Drosophila melanogaster: one gene and its partner. The protein of the gene in region 2 purifies or fractionates together with the protein of the main gene of each other region. This does not show direct contact. Each region holds a gene or a part of one and is shown on either strand. Other genes may lie near its edges.

Evidence for each region. The genes of interacting proteins can lie anywhere in the genome.
Region 1: the proteins of wde (region 2) and Pof purify together in Drosophila melanogaster (affinity purification with western blotting, with the first as the bait; one study listed by BioGRID). This does not show direct contact.

Annotation. Positions count from the first base shown.
Region 1 is NT_033778.4:24,667,714-24,671,468, reverse strand, and holds the start of Pof (painting of fourth), read right to left. Parts: upstream 2,073-3,755; 5' UTR 1,995-2,072; exon of another isoform or gene 1,946-1,994; 5' UTR 1,899-1,945; coding exon 1,622-1,898; intron 1,568-1,621; coding exon 683-1,567; intron 622-682; coding exon 430-621; intron 372-429; coding exon 238-371; 3' UTR 1-237. Other genes in the region: CG33228 (uncharacterized protein), read left to right, coding at 2,238-2,317, 2,373-2,732, 2,789-2,996; CG4806 (uncharacterized protein), read left to right, coding at 3,168-3,755. UniProt on the Drosophila melanogaster protein: Probable RNA-binding protein that specifically binds to the fourth chromosome and may bind an RNA that spreads the fourth chromosome.
Region 2 is NT_033778.4:10,807,095-10,810,849, forward strand, and holds the start of wde (windei), read right to left. Parts: upstream 1,845-3,755; 5' UTR 1,646-1,844; intron 1-1,645. Other genes in the region: CG12935 (uncharacterized protein), read left to right, coding at 2,695-3,097, 3,157-3,449; Nop10 ribonucleoprotein, read right to left, coding at 3,523-3,663, 3,729-3,755.

The DNA.
Region 1 (3,755 bases), about 14 Mb from region 2:
ATTAAACGATATTTTTTCGGGTTTAATATTTAAAACCGAAATATTATTTAACTTACGTATTATTATGTATTATTATTAATATTATATACCATAAATGTACGCTGAAATAAGAGAAACTGAACAAAAACGAAAACGAAGATACAACAAATAAAGAAACAGAAGTCCAATAAAAAATAAACTAAACTATTATTCTAATTCGTCTACGACGAGTAATTTGGTACACTGTAGCATGACAGATTAAGGATCAGGATCGCGTTCCAGTTGAGCATAGAGCTCCTCAAGTCTGTCATCCTTCTCGTACTCGTCAGCAGTCTTCATCGCACTAGTGCCTCGTCTGAAAGGACCCGTAAACAAGCGGCCAAAACACGATCCTAAGCAAGAGAAGAGGAGGAGAGTAAGTCAAAGAACTCAATTTGGGTATTAGTATACTTTTGGCTTTCTTCTGGCTGTCATCTTGAGCTTGTGTTGTCGGCTTGGTAGCCGGTACGGGATCAGGGATGCCCAAATAGTCGCACTCTTTCTTAATGTCACGCATTAGGTGCACCGCATTGGATCCTAGTAAACAACCTGTGGGATTCACGCTCGGCTCTACTTTGGGTGTAAGGTCAGGTATAAATGTATCTGCGAATGGAAAAGTAGTTTTTGTAAGCTCAGTATATATTCAAAACAGATCAACACAGACCTTCTAAGCTGTTCTGTCTAAATTGCAAACTTTTTATAATAGCGCCGTACTCGGCCATTTGACGCTTGAGCTTTTCAATCTCTCTTTCCTGTTCATTTATCTTCTTCTTGCGCTTGCCGTCTTCCTTGCCGTTGCCACTGGAATCTGAGCAGTTATCGCTGTCGCTAATTATGATAGACTCTAACGGCGGTGGAGATATGACCTTGCAGTCAGTGTTGTCGTCGTCTCCATTTGGGGATTGCAGCGCCTGAAAGGAGGTGGCGCACTGCACCATTGGCATCCCGGCGCGCTTCCGGAGTCGCCGATAGCGGACTGTGAGAGTGCGGCTGTTCAGCGGTGAGTCGACCAGCTCCTTGAACGCTTCCATGGTCTGGTCAGGTGAGGCGTAACGCACAAAGGCGTAGCGAGCGCGCTTCTCGCGCTTCAGCACTCCGATGTCCACGCGCATGGCGTTGGCGAAATAGGCCTTTATGGCCGATGTGGTCATGTTGAACGGTATGTTGCCCACATACAGAGAACAGGGATCAATGAACTCGGCCTGCTCCTCATCGGAGAACGGCTTAAGCTCCGCCCGAAGGTGCCCCGTACCGAAGCGCACCCTGTTTATGTCGCAGATGGTGGCCTCCACATCGGCACCGGCCTTTAGATGCACTAGACAGTATCGTGGAGCCACGCTAATGGGCAAGACCACATCCCGAATATCCTTGGACAGTCCTGCCAGCATGGGAGCAGTAATCTCGGGATCAGGAAAGCGGACGAGCAACACTTCGGAAGCGGGTGTCTGCCCCGGTTTGTTGGTCAACTCGCGTTCCAGGGCGAGGGCCCTTAATGTGTGTTCACGGCGCATTTTGGCCAGCTCCCGACGGGACAACTTGGCAGTGTCGGCTGAATGAAATTGTTGTATAAGAGTACTAGGATGTGAGCGTACCATCAACTTACGTTTCTTGTCACTGGTGGGCTTCTCCAGCTCGGCGTCGTTGTCCAAATCAACGCTAGTTTTCCACGGCAGAAGTTGACTCCCGGCGGGAGTCGGTTCGAACAAATAGGACTCCATCGGTGGAGTACATCCGTGGCCCGTGTAGGGTGCTACGTGTTTGGCCAGCATAACCTGACTGCCGTCGCCCCCCGACGCTTCTTTGTCTTGATCATCGGTGGTATCAAGGCGCTTGGCGTCCGGACCGTCGCCGGATTCAAGGGCCGCGCGTTTTGAATCCATTTTGTTAAGGTATCAAAAATGTGGAAAAATGTGGAACGTGTTCCTAGCTAAAGTTGTGGAAACTGGAAAAGTCTGTTCTATAGCTGTGTTGTTTACCTAATGAATGTTTCCGGAAGGAGTCGGCTTCTAATCATTATTCGAGTCTGACGCAAAACTCATAGCTGCTGCGACCTGGTGATCCGGCAACTTCGAGGCACAGCTGATTATTCTTCGGTGCATTCCTCAAGCACATACGTTGCCAGACCTTCTTCTTTGACAACCATCGGGTAGTGCCGCTGATTGCAGCACAGCTGATCACGTTGCCAGATTGTTTTCAAAGACAGCATAATAAAACACAAAATGTGTGCGGCCCTCTTACGAAGTGTTAAATTGGTTTATTTACGGCCAATACTAGCTAAACCGAATTTCCAGCTCTTACAGTAAGACCTATCCATTGACCTATCCGATTGAATCACTCTGCACCTTCTCATTTAGCACCAGCAGCGTGCTCCGCAAATGGCGGAATGCATCCTCCGGCGAAGTGGAACGGAAGCTCCTCTTTGGCGACAGGCTACCAGATAACTATAAACTGATTTACCGGGCCCCTATCGAGAGCTACGTGACCTGGACGAAGAATATATCCACTGCCACGACCACTGTACTTGCTGCGGTGGCCGCCTATCACTATGCCACAACCATAAACTACCTGGATATGGTCCAGAAAATGGACATAGCCATTCTGGTGTCCCAGGAATCAGATCTGTACTACTTTGTGGGTGGATTTCTGCTTATAAACCTGGCGATTCGAGCTTTTGTCGCCAAATATCCACTGAGAATATACAAGAGCTCGGAAAAGTAACTTTGTACGGTAGTACATGACATTTATAAGTAGTAACTTACTTTATTTTTAGATACGTGGCTGTCTATGGGTCCCAACTACCCATTGGAACTGTAAAACACTATTTTGAACGCGGTCAAATAGCTGAATACAAGAATTTTTTAAATCCCTGGAGCCACATTATGTACAAACTGGGCAACCGCTCCTCAATGCTTCTGGTTGATTACTTCAAGACCCCCTCGGAGTTCCACCAACTGTTCGCGACCAAACAAGAAACGTAGACTTTTTAATTGTTGATAATTGTTACAAATAAAATGTTAAAAACATTTTTTGAAATGTTTGTAAATTCCCGCCCATTTTCTATCGGTTATACCAGGGATGGACCTTCATTTTGGGTATTTTGCCGATCAGCTGTTTTGTTCGTTAGTTCTCATCAAGAGTTCCACGTGCAAATGGAACTTAAAAAAATGAAATCTTTAAAAGACGACGCTGCCGAATCCCAATCTCAGCCAGAAACCGGGGTCCGGAAGCGCCGCAACCCCTTTAACACACAGAGGCTGAAGGAAGAGAAGGAGCGCCGCCAGAAAAAGCGAGCGCGTCTCATCGTGCGCAACATCAGTTACAAGTCCACGGAGGACTCGCTTCGCGAGCATTTCGGGCAGTGGGGCACGCTGGAGGATGTACACATCCTGAAACGAGGTGACGGGAAGCTGGTGGGCTGCGCCTTTGTCCAGTACGAGACCATTAACCAGGCCACCAAAGCGATCCTGAACTCCAACGGCAAAGAGCTGCTCGGGAGAAAGGTATTTGTGGACTGGGCTTTGGGCAAGGACGAGTATGTATCAAAGAACCCGAAAGACGAGGAGCCGGATGAGAAGAAGCCAAAGGTGGAAGTGAAAGAGGAAAACGGTGACGAGAAGGAAGTTAAGGAGGAAAGCGACGCGGAAGTTGGCAAGGAAGATGAAAGTTCTGGGGAGGATTCTGATGCGGAATCCGGCGAAGATGAAGAGGACTCTGGAGAATCTGAAGACGAAGAGAAC
Region 2 (3,755 bases):
ACAAATTAATAGGGGAGCAATATAAGTAAAGAACATTATGGAATATCCATTTCTTAGTGCAACTACACACAGCTCCAACCAGTGTTAATAAATAGATGATTTGTAGATGGAGGCCGAACGCAAAGATTATGTGGAATCAGAGAAGGCTGAAGCAAAAATGTAACAGAATGTAACCCTGTCAAAAAAAGAAACTTTCCAAACTTTCCAAACTTTCAAAACTTAGAACCTATAGTCCGTCCGTCCTTCTGGTCTTTTCGAAACGAACTTAGGACCTTGCCAGGATACCGGTTTTGTAGAAAGTTGCGGAGTGAGCGGGACGGACAGAGAGAGCGGCCGGAGAGTAATTGCAAGAGAGAGCAAGAGGCCAAATTTATATATGCACGTGGCTATATATATTTGCCTGTATGTAGGAATTGAATAAAGTTCGCGTAGCGCCAAACACAGCACGACAAAGATACAGCAGCAAGCCGAAAGCAACAACTACAACACCGGGCAAACAAAAATAGAGGCGTAAAGTCGTTGTTTTTGTAGATGAAATGCTAAAACCTTCGATATCAGCTCTATTAAAGAAATTGATCCTAGAAGCTAGTGACATTGGATCATTAAATTTCGACTTGCTCTGATGGCAATACTTTTTTCAAGATGCTTAGGTCCATTAAAACCGTTGCTTATACACACAAATGTAGATAACAAACATGTTTAGGTGTCGTATTTTTGCAACTTAAAGTATATATGGCCAATTTATCGTCTTTAAAGTTCGGTCTTGTATTTAAGCCAATTTTGGGCTATATGTCTATTATAGCTGTCCCGCTCTAACACGCGCACACACACCAGTTAAGTTCGTTGTAGCAACGGCACATCGGTGTGAGCGTGTATGTATATCAGAACGTGTATTTGTGCGATTTTGCAACGCATTTACATTCTTTTTAGGTTACGTATCGATTTTGATGCAGAGTGAGGTTAGATCGAAAAACATCCAAGTTTTTGCATGCTTTACGAAAGCAAGGACATTTTTGAAATCCCCTCGGCGCCCTCTGCATGTTTCTGGTATCAGACGTTCGATAAAGACTAAACCCCGAAAAACCTAAAACGAGCAGGTTGCAAGCAGAAGCAAAAGCAAAACGGGCGGCGTTTTTATTCACCTATTGTACAATTTTATGTTTTTAGGGTTGCCAGGTATGCATTATGTTTATCATGAATATAATATAAAACCTCGATGTGTCCGATTAGACGCAAATCAAATGTCTTTAAATGTATAATTGAGACCATGATGTCGCGCAGGGTTGCCACCGGCAGGTCATTTTTTGTCCTATTGCAATGGCATTGCGGTATATAGTCTTGCCTACACGTCGGTAGTCTAGTCTAAAATATAGCATAGTAACAAATCCAGATATATATCAGATTTCGCCTGATTTGCAAATCGCGGTCACTTGACAACCCTGAAAACACAAATGTCTTTAAAGAGACTCGTACCATATCTGGCGTATGGTACCCGTACCCAGTCCAAATAAAAAAAAACTTCAAAACCCAGTAAAAAAAATGCAAATCCCAAATGTACCATTCGATTGGACCATTATATTACAGGGTATTTTTATAAAGAAAATTATAAATATAACATAAAATGGATAAAAAAAACTACACTTACCTTTCTACGACACGACAAACTCGTTTATTAACTTATATATTACCGAAAACTATTGAAATATGACTTGTGGTCTAACGGCAACTATCAAATGTCAATGATTTGAATGAATTTAACAGCTTCTCCGTGATTTGTTTACAATTCGCAGGCAACTCCACTTCCGATGCCCTTAAACGACGAAGACTGAAACACAGACTAAAATCGCACAACAACAGAAGGTGCCGAAAAGAACCAGTCTATGCACAACTGGTTCCGAAGAGCAGCGCCCAGATTGCAAGCTAGCGGCACTTGGAATAGAGATTGGCGCGTGATTCCGGATGCCGATTTCTGATACGCATCGAGAAGACATTTTTTATGGACGTTTCTAACAATACTTATTATTTTTGTATTTATTTAGGTTGGATTTTGGCAAAACTTATTTTATCTTATATTCAACTTTGCATTTTTACGCAATTTGTATTATTATTATTATTATTATTATTAACATGATGACCAGATATAACTTAAACTGGTTACCTTCTCATTACGATAGTAATATTATAAAAGGATGTATATTTAATAGCTGAGGAGAAGCAGCATTTCTATAGTATTTATATACAAAAATAAAAAACGTTATGCAGTTCATGCACGTGTACATCCCTAGTTTGGAACCAAACAAAATCATATGTTGTTACTAGGGCTGTATAGCTAAACGTTTTATTTATGGGAGCAGAACTATTAAGTGCCAGTTGGAACTAAGACGTGATCTCCCCTGTCCCTTCTTTTGCTTAAAACTGAATCATATTGACAAATGTTTTCGGCCCGTTTAAGTAATGTGACGTTCTCATGAAATACAACGGTGAACATTGCAAAAATCGTGTTATTTTCGTTAATTGTTCCAATGGGTGAACTAGTGAACGGAGTCAGCATGTGCCAGCCCTGATGGCTGCTTTGTTGAACTAGTTCCAGTTCCGGAGCTAGTGAACCAATAGCAAACGGAACAAAACAAAAACATCTGTAGATTATAGGTTAATTTGTTTTATAATAACAAATGCGGGAATTATTCAATTAAGATGAGCAATCTGCTGAATTTTGCCCTGCGGCAGGGCGTCAACTCCATCAAGCGCCTTAGCCTCCAGAGTTTCAGACTGGCAGCTCCGGCCATTGTAACAAAAACGCCGGTTACTTCCACGATAAAGAGATTCTCCTCCCAAGCCGCCCCCTTCGATGTGAACACCAGTGTCCCCAAGGACATAATACTTTTCAAGTATGAAAACCCCCGATTCTACCAGATGCTTAACTTTTTCGGGGTGTGTCAGTTTGTTTTCTGGACATATCTCTCGCACTTCGCCTTCACGACGCTTAAGGATGCTCCAGTGGTGGAAAAACCCGGAGAGGAGCTGAAGTGGTTCCAGCGCATAAATCTGGGCGATAATAAGTACAGAAATGGCATTACAGCCTGTAGCTTTCTGATAGGTAAGAGTGGTTTACTACGTTCTCGGCAAGCCGAAAATAAAACTCAACCAACATTTTAGGATATGGCATACTGTTTGCTGTCTGGATGTTTACCCTGCGATCGGTGCGTTTTCTTATCTTGAGAAAGGGTGGTCAGAGCGTTTCCTTTGTGACCTACGGTCCCTTCAACCGGAATCGCATTATGACCGTGCCATTAAAGTGCGTCTCCGCCGAGGAATCACGGAACATGGCCAGGGTGCAGCTACCCATTAAGGTGAAGGGCAAGACACTGTATTACGTCCTGGATATGCGTGGCGAGTTTCGGAATGGCGAGTTATTCGATTACACGGCGGGCCTCAAGCGTCGCATTTAAAGGGCAAGTTTTGTTGTTTTGTAGCTTATTATTTGTAAATAAAGATGTACACTAATTAAAACTAAAATGCGGCTTAGTAAATGGGCTCCGGCTTCTGGGTGAGCAGCAGTCCAAAGCGCTTCTTGATGGTCAGCCTCTGGCGGGAGTACTTATCCTCCGGTGAAAAACGTGCTGGATGAGCAGATAGTGTGGGACGACCATCCTCGGTGCGTTTCTAGAAGAGCAACAAGTGGTGACTTAGTTGGGTAATATATATATAGGGTTTTGATAATAATATACCTTCAGGGTGTAAACGCGATCGCCGTT